3 linked regions of the Coturnix japonica genome follow. The protein of the gene in region 3 interacts with the protein of the main gene of each other region in a biochemical or structural test. Links are inferred from orthologs where the notes say so. Each region holds a gene or a part of one and is shown on either strand. Other genes may lie near its edges.

The links.
Region 1: the proteins of KBTBD8 (region 3) and TCOF1 form a complex in vitro, tested with the Homo sapiens proteins (2 studies listed by BioGRID, with this or other methods). The link is inferred for Coturnix japonica from reciprocal best matches to the Homo sapiens genes KBTBD8 and TCOF1.
Region 2: the proteins of KBTBD8 (region 3) and NOLC1 form a complex in vitro, tested with the Homo sapiens proteins (2 studies listed by BioGRID). The link is inferred for Coturnix japonica from reciprocal best matches to the Homo sapiens genes KBTBD8 and NOLC1.

The regions. Positions count from the first base shown.
Region 1 is NC_029528.1:4,918,418-4,922,404, forward strand, and holds part of TCOF1 (treacle protein), read left to right. Parts: coding exon 1-168; intron 169-409; coding exon 410-656; intron 657-889; coding exon 890-972; intron 973-2,076; coding exon 2,077-2,305; intron 2,306-2,582; coding exon 2,583-3,149; intron 3,150-3,987.
Region 2 is NC_029521.1:14,292,120-14,297,508, reverse strand, and holds the start of NOLC1 (nucleolar and coiled-body phosphoprotein 1), read right to left. Parts: upstream 3,241-5,389; 5' UTR 3,226-3,240; coding exon 3,070-3,225; intron 2,981-3,069; coding exon 2,925-2,980; intron 2,850-2,924; coding exon 2,716-2,849; intron 1,604-2,715; coding exon 1,488-1,603; intron 777-1,487; coding exon 635-776; intron 111-634; coding exon 1-110. UniProt on the Homo sapiens protein: Nucleolar protein that acts as a regulator of RNA polymerase I by connecting RNA polymerase I with enzymes responsible for ribosomal processing and modification.
Region 3 is NC_029527.1:12,050,971-12,056,395, reverse strand, and holds the start of KBTBD8 (kelch repeat and BTB domain-containing protein 8), read right to left. Parts: upstream 3,099-5,425; 5' UTR 2,987-3,098; coding exon 2,971-2,986; intron 2,494-2,970; coding exon 2,422-2,493; intron 1,159-2,421; coding exon 948-1,158; intron 440-947; coding exon 1-439. UniProt on the Homo sapiens protein: Substrate-specific adapter of a BCR (BTB-CUL3-RBX1) E3 ubiquitin ligase complex that acts as a regulator of neural crest specification.

The sequences.
Region 1 (3,987 bases), on a different chromosome or scaffold from region 3:
TCCCAGCAGAACATCAAACCAACCAAGGTTTCAAGCACAGTGGCTGCGAAAGCTAATGCCACAACACCTTCAGGGAAGGGAATAAAAGCACCCCCTATCCCTTCAGTTTCCAGAGTGTCTGAGAGCTCAAACAGTGATTCCTCAGAGAGTGACACAGAAGCAGGAGAGGTAAAGGCAGAGGAGATGAATGTGGGGAGCTTCCCTGGGGAGAGTGGGCAGAGGGGGTGAATGAGCTAGAGCTTGAGTCTGGTGTATTGTCCCTTTCTGCAGGAGAGTGCTCTATTAAAACAGAGAACCACTGTTATTGCACTGATGTTGCCAAGACCAACTGTTCTAGGCTGCTTTCTCTGGTCACGGGCATGAGCAGTTATTCCCTCTTCCATATGCATTTCATCTTTTCTCTCCTTAGGCTTTTCCTCCTCCTTGCCTGAAAGAGACAGCTCCCATAGGGAAACCTCCTCCAGCCAGCCCTGCTACCCCACAGGCTGCTTCCATCCTGAGAAGTCCCACTGCCAAGTCAAAGAAGCCAGGCCTGCAGCCAGTACAGGATGCCAGGCTGAGCCAGACTGCACCACTCACCCAAGCAGAGGAGAGCTCAGACAGCAGCAGTTCCTCTGACAGCGAGAAGGAGACACCCAAGCAGCCTCCCAAACCTGGTCAGTTCTCCCAAGAAGATGCTCTTGGTGTCGTGGGCCAGCTTTTTGTTACCCTATGGGAGGTGTATCTCCTTCGTATTAGTAGCTAGAGAGTGATTTTTCTCCAGCTCTGCAGAAGGCTCCCCTTTGGAGGGAGAAGGCCTGTTGGTGGCAATCCTCATGGGCTGTGTAGGTGAACTAGCCCTGAGTAAGCAGTGGTGGGTTTAATGGGATGAACTGTGTTTCTCCAACAGGGATGCTGCAGAAACCAGGAAAGACTGAGCCAGATGACAGCTCCTTGTCAGAGTCCAGTGATGATGAAGAGGCAGTATCACAGGTATTGTACCTGAGCAGGCTGTGGGATCCATCTTGCAGCTGACTTCTAAGCAGCAGATAAAAGGATGAGTTTTCCACCATAGCAAATGGAAAGCTTTGGTAGGATTAATAGCAGGAAAGCAAGGGTTTCCCAGTGTAGTGCTGTGAGCAGGGCTTTCTGGTGTGGGAAGGCAGAGGCTTTGAAATCTGGAATGCTTCCCCAGGCAGCCAAGCCCTGGGTTCAGAGCTCATGATACTTTTCCCTGCAGATGGGAGGAGATGGTACCCAGCAAGGGTAAAACTGATGCATAGTTCCAATAGCAGCAGGATTTTTTCCCCTTTTACTTGTAACTTAACCCCTATTCAAGCCTTTAAATTCCCTCTGTAAGTAACATACAGGGTGTGTAGCACATCTGTAGTGCATTAGCTGTACATGGGTGCATGCTAATGGCCAGGAACCTCCTGCAAGCCTGCTTTACTGGGTGAGAACAAAGCAGAGACCCCATTACCATCAGCTCTTGCTGTTGCAAGCTCAGGGTATGTCTGTGCTGGCTCCCTCTCCTGGCAGCCCTGCCTTGCCATGGGCTCTCTGCAGAGCAGGCTGAACCATGGATTATCACTCTGCAGGGGGCCTATACAATCAAATGTACAGTTGAAACAAGGCAAGAATAGTTATGTATGGTTAGAATAAGACAGGAATAGAAATATACAGTTGGAATAATACAAGAGTTATAAATAGATAGCCAGAAGTATCCATGGGAAAAACTCACCAACTCTGAGGCCTTCAGTCAAGATGGAAAAGGTTGAGGCTTGCCACTGGAACTCCACAAAGGAACAGCCTCCAAAAAGAGATGCTGCCTTAGTGGTGGTCAGCCCTTAAATGGGATCTAGGAGAGGTGGAGTCAAGCTCCACGCCTTCCGGGAGCACAGCTGAATTACCTTCACCTGCGCTCCTGCAGCTGACTCATTGCTTGCCTCTGACTGTTTAATCAGAAGTTCAGGCTGTGATTAACAGTTTCCTATACAGGGCCCTTCACTTGGAGTATGTGGGCAATATCAACATGTGTACGAGGTATGAGGGAAGCTGCTCTTCTGTGCCGTTTCCTCAGCGTCTGTGCTATTTCAGTCCCTCCTCACAGGTTATATGAGCCTCTCCAAGAGCCCAGCAGCACCTCAAGCACCAAAGACGGTTCCCCCCCAGCCTGTAGGCAACACAGGGCAAGGGAAAGCAGCTGTGAATGCCACTAGCTCCCTCGCCAAAGTCTCTGTGAAAGCAGCCCCAGCTGACAGCTCCAGCAGTGACAGCAGTGACTCTGACACAGACATCGAGCAGGTGTCTGCAAACCACAAAGCAGGTGGGTCCTTTGGCAAGGCTGGGAATCTGCCTGGCACAGGAGCAGAGCTGTGTTGGCACAGGAGAGTGACACTGGGGCCAGGGCCTGTTCTGGCTGTGTCTCCACTGCAAAACCCAGTGTGGGGTGCTGCTGCCGTCTGCTGGCTTCCCCTGGCCATGACACAGCCATCTCTGCTGTAGCTGGGATGGCCAGCACATTCTTCAAATACATATTCCCCTCCCCTGCTGCAAGGAATGCTCCTGGAGTTTTCATCTCTCTCTTGTCACTGTTTCTGCAGAAAGCAAACCCTCTCCAGGCCAGGAAGCCACAGGGACATCCAACAAAGAGAAGGGGGCAGGAAAAACTGATGCAAATCATGCCAACCCCAAACCTTCCTCAGTCAAGAAAGCCGTGGCTAACAAAGAGAACGATGTTGAGGCAAAAGGGACGCAAGCAAACCCATTGCCATCTGCACTGCTTACAACCCCACAGCCAGTGCAGTCGAGTTTGGAGAACAAAAGTGAGGTCACCAGTGCTGCTGGAGTTCCTGCAGTGCAAACACCAGACGGGTTGGAAGAGAAAAAGAAGAAAAAAAAAGAGAAAAAAGAAAAGAAGGAGAAGAAGAAACCTTCCTCCACAGCAGACAAGGCTGTGAAAACAGCTAAGGGCAAAGACAAAGAGAACAAAAAACAGAAAGCATCTCAGAAACGGAAACATCCAGGAGAGGATGGAGCTGTTGGGCAGCCCAAGGAAAAGAAGAGGAAAGGGCAAGGTAATGAAGAAGTGCCCAAAAAGAAGAAAAAGAAAGCAGCTGATGACCAGGAGAAGCTGCCAGGAAGCAAGGAAAAGAAAAAGTCAAGTAAAAGTAAGTTTCCGTGTGGTGTCATGTGGGGCTGTGTTCGCAGTGGGTTCTTGCAGCTGATGGGTGCTCAGCCTCTGTTTCAGGGCAACCACCTTCCCATCAGCCTTGTCTCATTCCTTTCTGGCCCACCCAAAGCCAGTGCAAGATTTTTAACTCCCCGCTTTAGCATTTTTTCTGCATTTTCAGCATCAGGTCATACAGACAGCTGGGCTCTCCTGCCTTTCTCCCATATCCAACACAACACGAACCATGTCATACTTACACTGATCCTTGTTGCTTGCAAAGCAAGCTGATGTCCCTATGCAAATGTCATGGGATGACCTGTCTCGTGGTTTTCTCCTTTCCAGGCCTTTGCCAGGGCTGGAAGTATCCAACTCAGGGCTGGCAGAGGTCAGACTGTGCTGAACTGCCTGAGACCTCCTTGTGCACCATGTGATGCCTTTCTGTGCTGGGCTAACACAGGAGCATTTTTTTATCCTTTGCAGTTCAGAATCCATTTGCAAGCTGTAGCTATTGTGGACTTCTTCTTCATGAGAGAGAAGGAAGATGGAATGGGTGGGCAAGATTTGCTGGGCTTTCTGTTCTGCAGAGATATAGCCCTTCGTTTTGGAGGAGACAGCCTTGTCTGTCAGCCTCTGTGTGGGCTGTAGCACAGACATGCACTGGAGCTTCTTGGTACAGTCGTGCTCAGCTGAAACTTGTGTCCATCTGGTGTTGGTAGCTCCCCTTGCTTTGGTTTCTGGCATGTGCTCAGCTGCTCCAGCATGGAAACAGTTCCTCAAGGTGGTTGGACAGCAGCAAGTGGGAAGAAGGGCAGCCTGCCTAATTCTGCCTACACGTG
Region 2 (5,389 bases), on a different chromosome or scaffold from region 3:
TTTCTGTGCAGCCTTTTTCTCATCAGAATCTTCACTACTGCTGCTGCTACTGCTGCTGCTTGGTGCTTTCCCATTGACCACTTTGGTGGTTGCTTGAGCAGCTTTATTTCCTTTAGGGAAAAGTGAAAAGCAGTACTAGAAAATACACTCATTCAGCATAAAGTACCATAGAGAGAAAAACACGGCAAAAGATAATGAGGAACCATTATGGTAAGTACTGTAAACTTTCTGTTTTTACTCTTCTTCAAGCGTAGGGATGATTTTCAGTAAGATGTCTGCCCTAACTTATTAAGGGTTCCCTAACTTATTAATAGTTCTGTGAACAAAGAGTAAGCACTGTTAACTTACTCCAGCTCTGCATTTTATGGGAAGACATTGATAAAAGCACAACATAAGCAACTAAGGTTGCTGACTGCAGCTACTTATGCAAATAATACAGCCTTTATGACTTGATGTTTCATTTATGACATGATGTTTCATTTACAATCAGTTCTACACACACTCCATGTTGAAAGTAGACTGCCCTAGAATACAAATGGCAGAGACAATAGATTTGCAGACTTCATTAACATGTATGCCTCACTCCTTTAGACTTTTGTGCATGCAGACTCACAATACCCAATCAAGGAGATACCTGCTTTAGGTGTCGCTGCTTTTGGTGGCTGTTTCTTTGGTTCTTCTTCATCTGAGCTGCTTGAGTCAGAGCTGGAGCTCTCCGCTTTCTTCTGAGGCTGGATTTTGGTTACAGCTGGCTTCGCTGCAGGTTTTGTGCCTTTCTAAATGAAAGGAAGAAAACTGAGTAGCCCTTGTAGCAAAGAAAAGGAGGCTAATAAGTGGAACATGTACAGGAAGTTGAAACAGTTGGAAACCTCACAGCCTAACAGCTAGTGTTTAAAAATCTCTGAATAATGGTTTTGCTTCCAGTTTTGCTCTGGGAAGCCTCACAGAAGCACACAGGACATGTTCTTTACTCTTCAGTCTCCAGTTCTTCCCCTTCAAAAGGAGGGGGATCTGGGACTTCTCTTTGGGGATCAGACTAGTTCAAAGACTGAAAATACTGATGAGGAAACCCTGGTTTGCCTCTTCAAGCGCAACACTGTTTTTCCTCCCTCTACTTTTCAAGACCATGGCAGTAGTGAATAAAGAGGAAATTATCTATTTATACATGTGTATAAGCTATAAATCATCTTTCTCTTAAACAAAACAAAACAAAAAACAAAACCCAAGCACTGACTGGGAAAAGAACCAGGAGTAGACATGGATACGAAACAAATAACTGCTAGACATGAAATGAGTTTTTCAGAGGCTCCATCTAAATGGTACACTGTCTATCACATAAGCATCTTATTACATTGCATCTCCAGAAGTCCAGGTGCTTTGTAGTTTGTGGAAGGCAAGCTCAGTTGCAGGGAGAATTTTGCTGGTCAAATTTGCTATCATTCATCCTTATCTAGCATGTAGTGAAGAGGCTAGAAAGGAAGGCTAACCTTTGCTGGCTTCTTCTCCTCCTCCTCTGAGTCAGAATCATCACTAGAGTCCTCGCTGCTGCTCTTTGCCTTCTTGGCAGGAAGAACTTTTGCCTTTGTTACAGCTGTTGCTTTAGCTGCAAGTAAAGGAACAAATATGTTGATTGTTTAATTCATGCTTCCCATATATGTATATCCTGCATTACTATTATACTGTGTTAAAATAGTCTATTTAAGTCAGTAAAATATGTCTGAAGATTATAACACTGACCCAAGCTTCAGTCTGCCATTCACAGAGCAGAACAAGAATCCAAAACAGTTCTAGACTCATTCAGCTCTTATTACTCACATATTTAAGAGCAGACTTCTCAGCAGCAACACCCCATACAAGAAGCACTCCCACAGAATGAGATAATGTTGAAGTTGTTGATGGCACATACCTTCCAGCTTCCACAACAAACCACTGCAGACTTCCAAAGAGAATCATTCCAAAGCTGTGCTACAGATTTTAACTTGTACCTGGATAACGAGCTCACGCCTACCGGGAATTAAAGTGAATCACAAACAGAAATGGGAAGCTCCAGGAAGGAGACTGAGGGATTGAGTGCATCCTCAGTAAGTTCGCAGATGACATCAAGCTGGAAGCGTTGATCCGCCTCAGGGTAGGAAGGCCCTACAGAGGGATCTGGATAGGCTGGATCAATGTGCTGAGGCCAGTTGTATGAGCTTCAACAAAACCAAACACCAGGTCCTGAGCACTGATTGTGACAACCCCATACGTTGCTTGGGGTTTGGGGCAGAGGGGCTGGCAAGCTGCATGGAGGAAAAGGATCTGGAGGTGTTGGCTGATGGTTGTCTGAACCGCCAAGGGCATCCTAACTTGTAATAGAAACAACACAGTCAGCAGGACTAGAAGTCAACTAGTCAACTGAGAGAAAATGGCCTCAAGTTGTACCAGAGGAGTTCAGGTTGGATATTAAGAAGAACTTATCTGAAGGAGTGGCAATGCACCAGCACGGGCTGCCCAGAGAGATGCTTAACAAACGCAGAGATGTGGCACTGAGGGACGTGGTTAGTGGCTGTGCTGGGCTGGTGGGCAGATGATTTTAGGGATCTTAGGGATCTTTCCCAGCTTTTATGATTCTGCATTTCTCAGACCAGGACGTGGCCGTGCTCTGTCAGCAGCACCAGCCGTACCCAGAGCAGGGCCAGGCCGCCAACCCAACGCTGCACTTTCCCCCCATCTCACCCGGCTTCTTGGCAGGCGGGGCCGCATCCTCCTCCTCCTCCTCCTCGCTGGAGCTCTCGCTGCTGCTGGTGGCCGCCGTGCGCTTCGCCTGCGGCCCGTTGGGCACGAGCTTCCTTTTCCTGGCGGCAGGAGACCTGCATGGAGACAGAGGGACGGAGCTGCAGGGCACTGCCCCGAGCTGAGCCCAGCTCCGTGCGGGCAGCGCTCACCTCACCCAGTAGCTGAAGATGTCCAGCAGCGAGGCGGCGTTGGGGTCCTGCTCCTTCTGCGGGGACACACGGACACGTGTTAGCCTCAAACATGGGGACATCCCGCTCCACATCCCGCCCCCCGCCCCGGCCCAGCCCCGCTCACCGCCGCCGCCTCCTTGGCGAAGGCTCTGGCGGCGCCCTCGAAGCGGTTCTCGCGCAGGAAGGCGAGCACGAACGGGAACAGGTCGCTGGGCACGGCCCGCCGCTCCGCCATGCTGCGCCGACACGTGCCGCCCGAGCGCCTGCGCACCGCCGCCATGACGTAACGACGTCCGTACGTCTGTGCGTGCGTGCGTGCGTGCTTGCGTGGCGCGCGGCGCCTCCGCCTCTGAGGGAACGGCGCCATGTTGGAGAGGGGAGGGAGGGTCTGTAATGCTGCCAGATGGAAAGTGTCTGTGCAGTTAAATCCGACAAAAACAACAAACAAAAAGTCTAAGTGTATGTTGAATGCCAAGGCCAGAGCTTAAAGTGATGTCTGGGACTTGAGTGTGGTGTTGAAGTCATGGAATAGCTGTGGCTCTGATAAGGCGTTTCATTCAGCTGCTTATAGTGCTGTGGCTATAAATGAGCTATTCCTCTTGTTCAATAAAAGCTTTCTTGTCTATAAGCCTCGAGGTATTTGTTGATAAATTGGAAGTCCTGTTTTGTTCCTTTTGCTTTGCACTGGGGACTTTTTGTTGTTGTTCTGATACAAAGCCTGCTGGGCACAAGCAAGAGAGAGCTGTTTATGAGGGTCCTGAGTTAGAGCTGCTGAATTTCAGAGCATACACATCAGATCTCACTGCATAAAAGGGAGGCGTGAGAAAACATTTCCTGTATTACAGACGATAGGGAGTTACATTTCTATGTCTGCTTTAAGGATCCTGAGCAGAGCCTGTCCCATCTCCATACCAAACAAATCAAATTGCCCATAACATCAGCAAACTGGTGAGCAACAGCTCCAGCAATTAACCCTGCTATGTGGTCTGACCTCTGTGGGCAATTGTGTGGGACAGATGTTAGAGCAAGGAAAAGCAAGTGACACGCCTTCCTCACTGTCAAGTGCTGCTTTAGTCAGTGCTGTATTGGAAATGTGGTGGCGGGCAAAAGAGGAATCCTAGGACTGGAAGCAAAAGGTCATTGGGTTATCAGCCATAGGGGAAATGGAGGGAATAACAGAAAACGTGATGAATTTTCCACCCTTGCTCTGGAAGTCCGTGGCAAAATGGTTTTTATACTGTAGGGTGGGTTAAGTAGTGCTGTTCCTGTGTGGAAGGTGCAGATCACGCTGATTTCTAATGAAGAACAGGCTCAGCAAGGCTCAGCTTTAGCTTGAATTGAAGTAATGAAATCTGTTTTCCTTTGCACAAGCTGCTGTGCATGGAGCTGCAGCCTTAAATGAAGACAGAGAGCCTGACTTGCAGAGAGACGACCTGGCTCTTCCTCAGTAGCACAATGAGGCCCTTCTTTTGCTTTTTCCCAACCCACAAATTCTTTTTCCATACACTAAAGTGTATCTTCTGGCACTTTTTGGTTCCTAGTGTGTCTAAAGCGTCCTGTTGTAATCTGGTTTTTCAGGAGGAGGTTGTTGTAAAGTGCTGAAATGGTGCACAGACAGTTACTTTGGGGAGGCACATTAATTTCATTTGACAGGCTAAAGGGATTTCCTGTGTTCTACATTGATGGAATCAAATGGCATCCCAGGTGACACTGATGTACATGGAGAAATCCCATGGATTCTCATTGAGCAAGAAGATGGCATTGTTAGCTGTTTATATGATCCTGCAAAGCTTTCAAGGGAGAAATGATGTAAAAGCTGGTTTCAAAGTGCATGTTTAAATCCTAATCTGACACCAGAGGGATGATTTTGAGATATATATATATATTACTTTGAGATTAAATGGATTTGCAAGAGAAATAACGGTAATCATGGAGCATATACATGTTTGTCCATCTATTTTTACTTCTATCTGTTTCTGAATATGTGAGTATTATTCCATGATATCCAAAAATTAGACCAGCTTCCATCTGGTGGACTTCTGTCCTTTATAAATGTTGGATTCAGTAGCTTCCCATTTCTCCAGCACCCAGATGGTCTTTATTCCATTGCACGTACTCAGAATTCATTTGGGCACTGGTGAATCTAAGGGCACCGAGGTATGTTCATATGTTCATCACTTGTCCTCTCTGGCTCTTACGTTTTCCACCTTTCCTGTTTGACAGGTGTGACTTTAAGCACTGTACCATCTCTTTGTTATTACCACTCCACGTTCACCTGCTCTCTTCCCGCTGTATCAGTCTCTTTGGTTTCCATCCCTCCTAATCCTCACTGAGCTGGAGTAGCTTTAGCTGGAAGGAGGAAGAGAGACACTGTCGAATTGTCTATTCGAGGGGATCCCGGAGAAGACATAAGCGGTCGTCCTAAACGCTTGCTTTGGAACGGT
Region 3 (5,425 bases):
CTCAAACCACCTTATAATGCTGTCATAAACATGTTCTTCTTTGTCTACATTTAAGTCATCACTGTCGAGTATACTTATGAGCTGGTCTTTTCTCAACTGAAGAAACTCTTGCTCTTTGGTGACACTCAGAAACTTTTTACGAATGTAGTCTTGTGATCTGTCTTTGAGTTCCTGATGACCATAGTGATCAGCAAAGATAAACACCCCAATGGAGTTCTGTGGGTCCAAATGACTGATCATATATTTAGCACACTGGTCTTGTATGGAAGGGATCTGGAAGATACTAGCTGCAGTGAACAAAGCTTGAACGTTGGCCTCTGTCAGCATTACTCTGGAGGTATATGCATAGTTCAACACTAAATGCATTGACTCTGCTTCAACACCAACTATACGAACTTCTTTCTGGGTACTCTCTGTAAGGCCGCTAGTGAACATAGATCTACAAAAGAAAAATATTTAGCAGTTTATTTGCAGTTACCTTCTAACTACAGATCTAAGAAATTATACCATAAGCTAACCCCAACAACTCTGCCCTTTTGTGAGCACAAACACATTTAACAATGATGTTACACTGTTCTGCTTGGGAACCTAAACTTAAGAACAGTCCCAGACTTAAGTCAAAAATGGCAAGTTGGAATTTCTTTCTTAGTTATCCCAATAATTCCATATAAAAATTCAATCATTTTAAAAGCAAAGCTCTTGACACATCCAAGTCACTGCACTTAACTTTCAACAAGTTATCCATATGCACATTCCAACATGACAGCATACTTATAAAATGAAACACAGTTTAACTACACTGTTACTGTAGAAATGTATTTACTAGATAAACTATATCATCAATAGTTACATGGAACATTAGTAAAGGTTGTGCTTTTTTTGGTCATTAAATGGAAATAATTTATAATCCCCCTTTTTATCATCCCTAGAACAACAGATTACTGTACCTGAAGTAAGGACTGATTGCAGCAAGAACATTTCTATGACAGGAGAATGTTTTCCCATGATCCACTTCCACTACAATATCTGTCAGTTGTCCTTCGTCATACATGGTTTTAAGTTGTTGAAGAATACTGCAAGCATGGAAGGGGTCCATTCCACTGCTGACTGTGTTTGAAGAAGGAATTCCATTCAGTGTTTGTGAAAACTTACTTGGTTCTACAAAGCAAAATTAAAACCATTTAAAACAGAAAAAAAGAGAAAGTATACATGTCCAGAATGTAATATTTAATGCAAGTTAATATTCTGTATGGCCTTACCGTCATCATCCATTAACAGCAAATCTAACATACTCAAGGATGAATAAATATATAAGGATATATGGGAGTAGATTGAATTTATCTGCCTGGTTGTTTTGTTGTTTGTTATTGTCTTTTTTCCCTCCTTCCCTATCTTACTAACTTTAAGAGAATATTCACATGAATGTCTTACTAAACACCTCTTGGGAGATGTGTTGGAGGGAAGGAAGTATCACAGTGTTTACTGACTTCTAAAATGGGAAGAACAAAGAATGCAGAAGAGTAGGACTAGCCCACAACCAAATTCACCATTGCACAATTCTATATGCTTGTAAACTCCACACTGAAACAGGAACTGGCTACTAACTTCCACAAATGATGACTAACAGAGTACAATCACAAAGAAACTGCCTTACAGTAAATATATAGAGCAACAAACATAGATGAATTCATGTAAATCTGTATGTATGGTTACATGTTTTTATTTACCAGTTAAATGCAATTACCATTTAAGACTACCCAGGTGTGAAAGTACTTGCATATCATTGTGAAAACATGCAATGAGAACACGATCCTTACTAACATGTGATATGCTTAACGAAGTAAATCCCAAAGTGAAAATTGAGCAATACCTCAAGCACAAAAATCCGTTTCGTAATAGCAACAAGATTTTTACGCAACAATAACAAAGAACTCAAAAGGAAAACATTAGGTGATAAAAGCTGCAAATCAGGTGAAGCTGCTGATTGCAACTGAAAGCCCTCAACACATTTAGGGCAACACAAAGGGGAGTAAAGGCCAGTGAACAACAAGGACTAAGAGACTGAAATTCTAACGCACGGCAACACACAGGAGATACAGTTTCTCTTAGAATTCAGACACAGCTCTGAGCACTCAATGAAGTCAGTGGGGATCTGCTGGTCAGGCACATTTTCCTGGTAGGCTTAAGGCCAAATATAGTCAGTGCCTGTTCAAACCACTGGTAGGAGAACTCCTCAAAACACTTTTCCCCTCCTCAAAATAAGTTAGTAAATACCGTATTTAAGGATAAAATCTTCAGTGGGGAATTGACTGCAGTAACTAAACATCAACATTCAGTAACCAACCAGCCACAGGGAAAGGAGGAAATTCAGGTCTTTTTCAGAAGGAATGTTCATCACTATAAATTCCAAGGAAATAATACCTGCTACACGGATGCCAAGGCTTCCTACCTGGCCAAACCTTAACGTACAGTAACACAGCGATATAGCAGCCACTGCAAAGGAATTTTATGTACATACTATTGCTGAAAAGGCTCAAAACTGTCCCTCCCTGACCCTGCCATTCACCCAGGCGATGAGCACATGCTATGAAGGCAGCTCCCAGCCCTGATGGAAGCAACCAGGCACGCTCTCATCCACGTATCCGTTTTCCTGTTTAACGCCGTTCACTCCTCAGGTCTCACTCCTCTCTATCACAACAAACACCTTTTTTCTCCTCCTAATATCTCCCCCACTCACATCCCTTTCCATCCCAAGCCCCCCCACACTCAGTCCATACACCTCACCCTGCTCTAAACTCCCATAGGGAGCATCTCCCCATCCCACCCATAAAACCCCCCTATTAAACCCCACTCCCTTAAACCCCCTCTTGGTCCTACCTCCCCCCACTCCGCACCCCAACCCTACAGGCCCTATGGGCTCGTCCCCCACCCCCAATGCCCACACAGCCCTCCCCCCCTGGCCGCACCAACCTCCTAACGCTGCCATTCTCGGGTCCCCAGCTCCGGCAGCGGGAGAAGGGGGGGGGGGCGAGAGGAAACGTCAACCTGCGCCGCTTCCTGCGGAAGCCAACCCCGCTCCCCTCCACCTCTCAACACGAAGCGCGCTGATTGGCGCTCACCACCGAGGTCTGCTGGGTAATGTAGTTCTGGAAGCGGAAGACGCACGGCTTCGGCCTAGAGGGGAATGCTGGGAGTTGTAGTTCGCATTAAGCGATTTGGGGGCGGCCCGTCGCGTAGCAACGAGGAGGAGGGAAGTGAAGGGCGGAGCGGCCATTTTGGGGCCCTCAGGTGGGGTCGTGAAGGTGTAGCACGGCCAGAACGAGCTCCCCCTTTGAATGACCCTGCTGGATAGTAACACCCCCAGTCTCTGCTCTGTCAGGTTTTGTGCTGCTTTGCTCCTGTTCACGCTTACCTGCAGCTCCTGGCAGTAATCCCCAGCCCTCAATGGAGAGCAAAGATGGCACCCAGCATGGAGGGGCATCGGCTGCCATGGGCCCTGCTGGAAGAATAAAAGATGACAGAAAAAGCACAAACAAACAAAAACAAACAAAAATAAACAAACAAAAACAAAACCAAAACAAACAAACAAAAAACGGACCAAAAAACCCTAAAATAAACAAAAACCTCCCCAGTATTTGCTGCCTTCCTGATGCCACAAAAGCAGAGCGAATTGTGGTTTGCAAACCCCACATCTTTCCAGCCCGTTAATCAGAACCAATCCACAAACACTTTGTGTTGGACCTCATAGTTTTCTCTCTCATTCTGTAATGGTGCCCCTGGCACGCAGCCATCCAGAAGGCAGCTGGGTGACCCCAACAGACAGACCTCATCTTGTTGCCAATGCCCTTTAACATCACAAGGCACCATTTCTGCCCTGGAGATGAAGCAGCTGATAGTCACCAGCTATTTTTGCTTTTTTTTTTTTCTCCTTGGTGTTTGGTCATAACCATCCCATCAGTTTTGCTAACTGAGCCATTAGCAGCAGCGTACTGTGGAGGACTAATAGTGGGAAAAATAGTGGGAGCGTTTTGAAGGACTACACATTTCTTCTATTATAAATCAAAATAGATGTAATGCAACTTTGCGGTACAGCCGTTTGCTCAAGGAAAAATAAATGCAAACAAACCCAATCCAATTTAGATAAGATTCTTTTTTTTTAAAAGCAGTGTTTCACTTTAGCTCTCAGCAGCAATGTGCCATGGGTGTATTATGGTACCCTGAAGCAGATGAGTTTTAGAAGCAAAAATAGCAGTGCTCGGCATCTTCTGACTGCTTCTCATGTGGTTTAGCTTTCACTTGCTACAAGTTGCCTTTCCCTACTTTAGCCATTATCAGTGATGTCCAGGCTGCTGTCAGTAATAATGCAACACAACACAGGGATGATGGGGGCACTGATGAAGGAGGTGTGAAAGAAAATAGAACTGCACGTCTGCAAATCGATTCTGCAGTTTTCCAATTTCCCCATTCAGCAATAGCATGGCCTGTGAAATTGTCCCTAGAAATATAAAACTAGGGGACTCCACTCTTACCTTTTAGCAAATGACATTGCCTAATGCAGTTCATTTCCTTTGGTGTGGACACTGAAGCTGGGCTGGATTTAGTGTTCAAAATGCAGAAGCGAAATGGAAAATGTTTTTTAATATAAATACTGCATTGAACTGGTACTTTGGAGTAAAGTGTTTCATGAAATAGCTTACCTTTGTAAGATTCATGTGAAGAAAATAAATTGCCAGACAAGCAGGTTTGGCTATTCATTAAGAGGCACTGCTATCAATGCTTTCTCTTACTCTGAAATCCTTCTCAGGTACAGTAAATACACTGTCATCCACTTCCCTGTCTGGAAACCTTCATTAGCACTCCCTAACACTAAGAAGATTTAGCACAGAGTGACACACATTCACGGGAACTCAAGGAACAGACTTTGTCACCCAGGTCTACATCCTATTTACTGGCTTTCTTGGATGCAAAATGAGAAGCACTTTGCCCATGCAGGCTGCTCTGAGATCTGCGGCAATCACGATGTTGAAGCTAAGTTTTATAAACAGCACTTGCATTGCACACAAATACCAGCGTCCGTCAGTGCTTTCAGAAATCTCAAGGTGCTAAAAGAAAGGGAGTTCCATCTCCCTTTGTTTCTATCTGTCTTCTGTATTCTGCCTGGGAAGCAATACAAGCCCGGGATTTAAGCATAGAAGTCAGAAAATTGGAATTTTATCTTAGCGCTGACACTGATTTACTGGGTGCCATTGATCAAATTGTTTGATTCCATGGATTTTGGCTTCCCAGAAGACAGCGGGGAGTTGTGAAGCCCTTTAAGATATTTTGACTTAAATTCCTTTATCAGCATGGTAATAATTTTTTGTATGGTGTTTTGCTTTGTCGACTTTAGCTCTTCTGTCCAGCAATCCATTAGAACTGATGATAT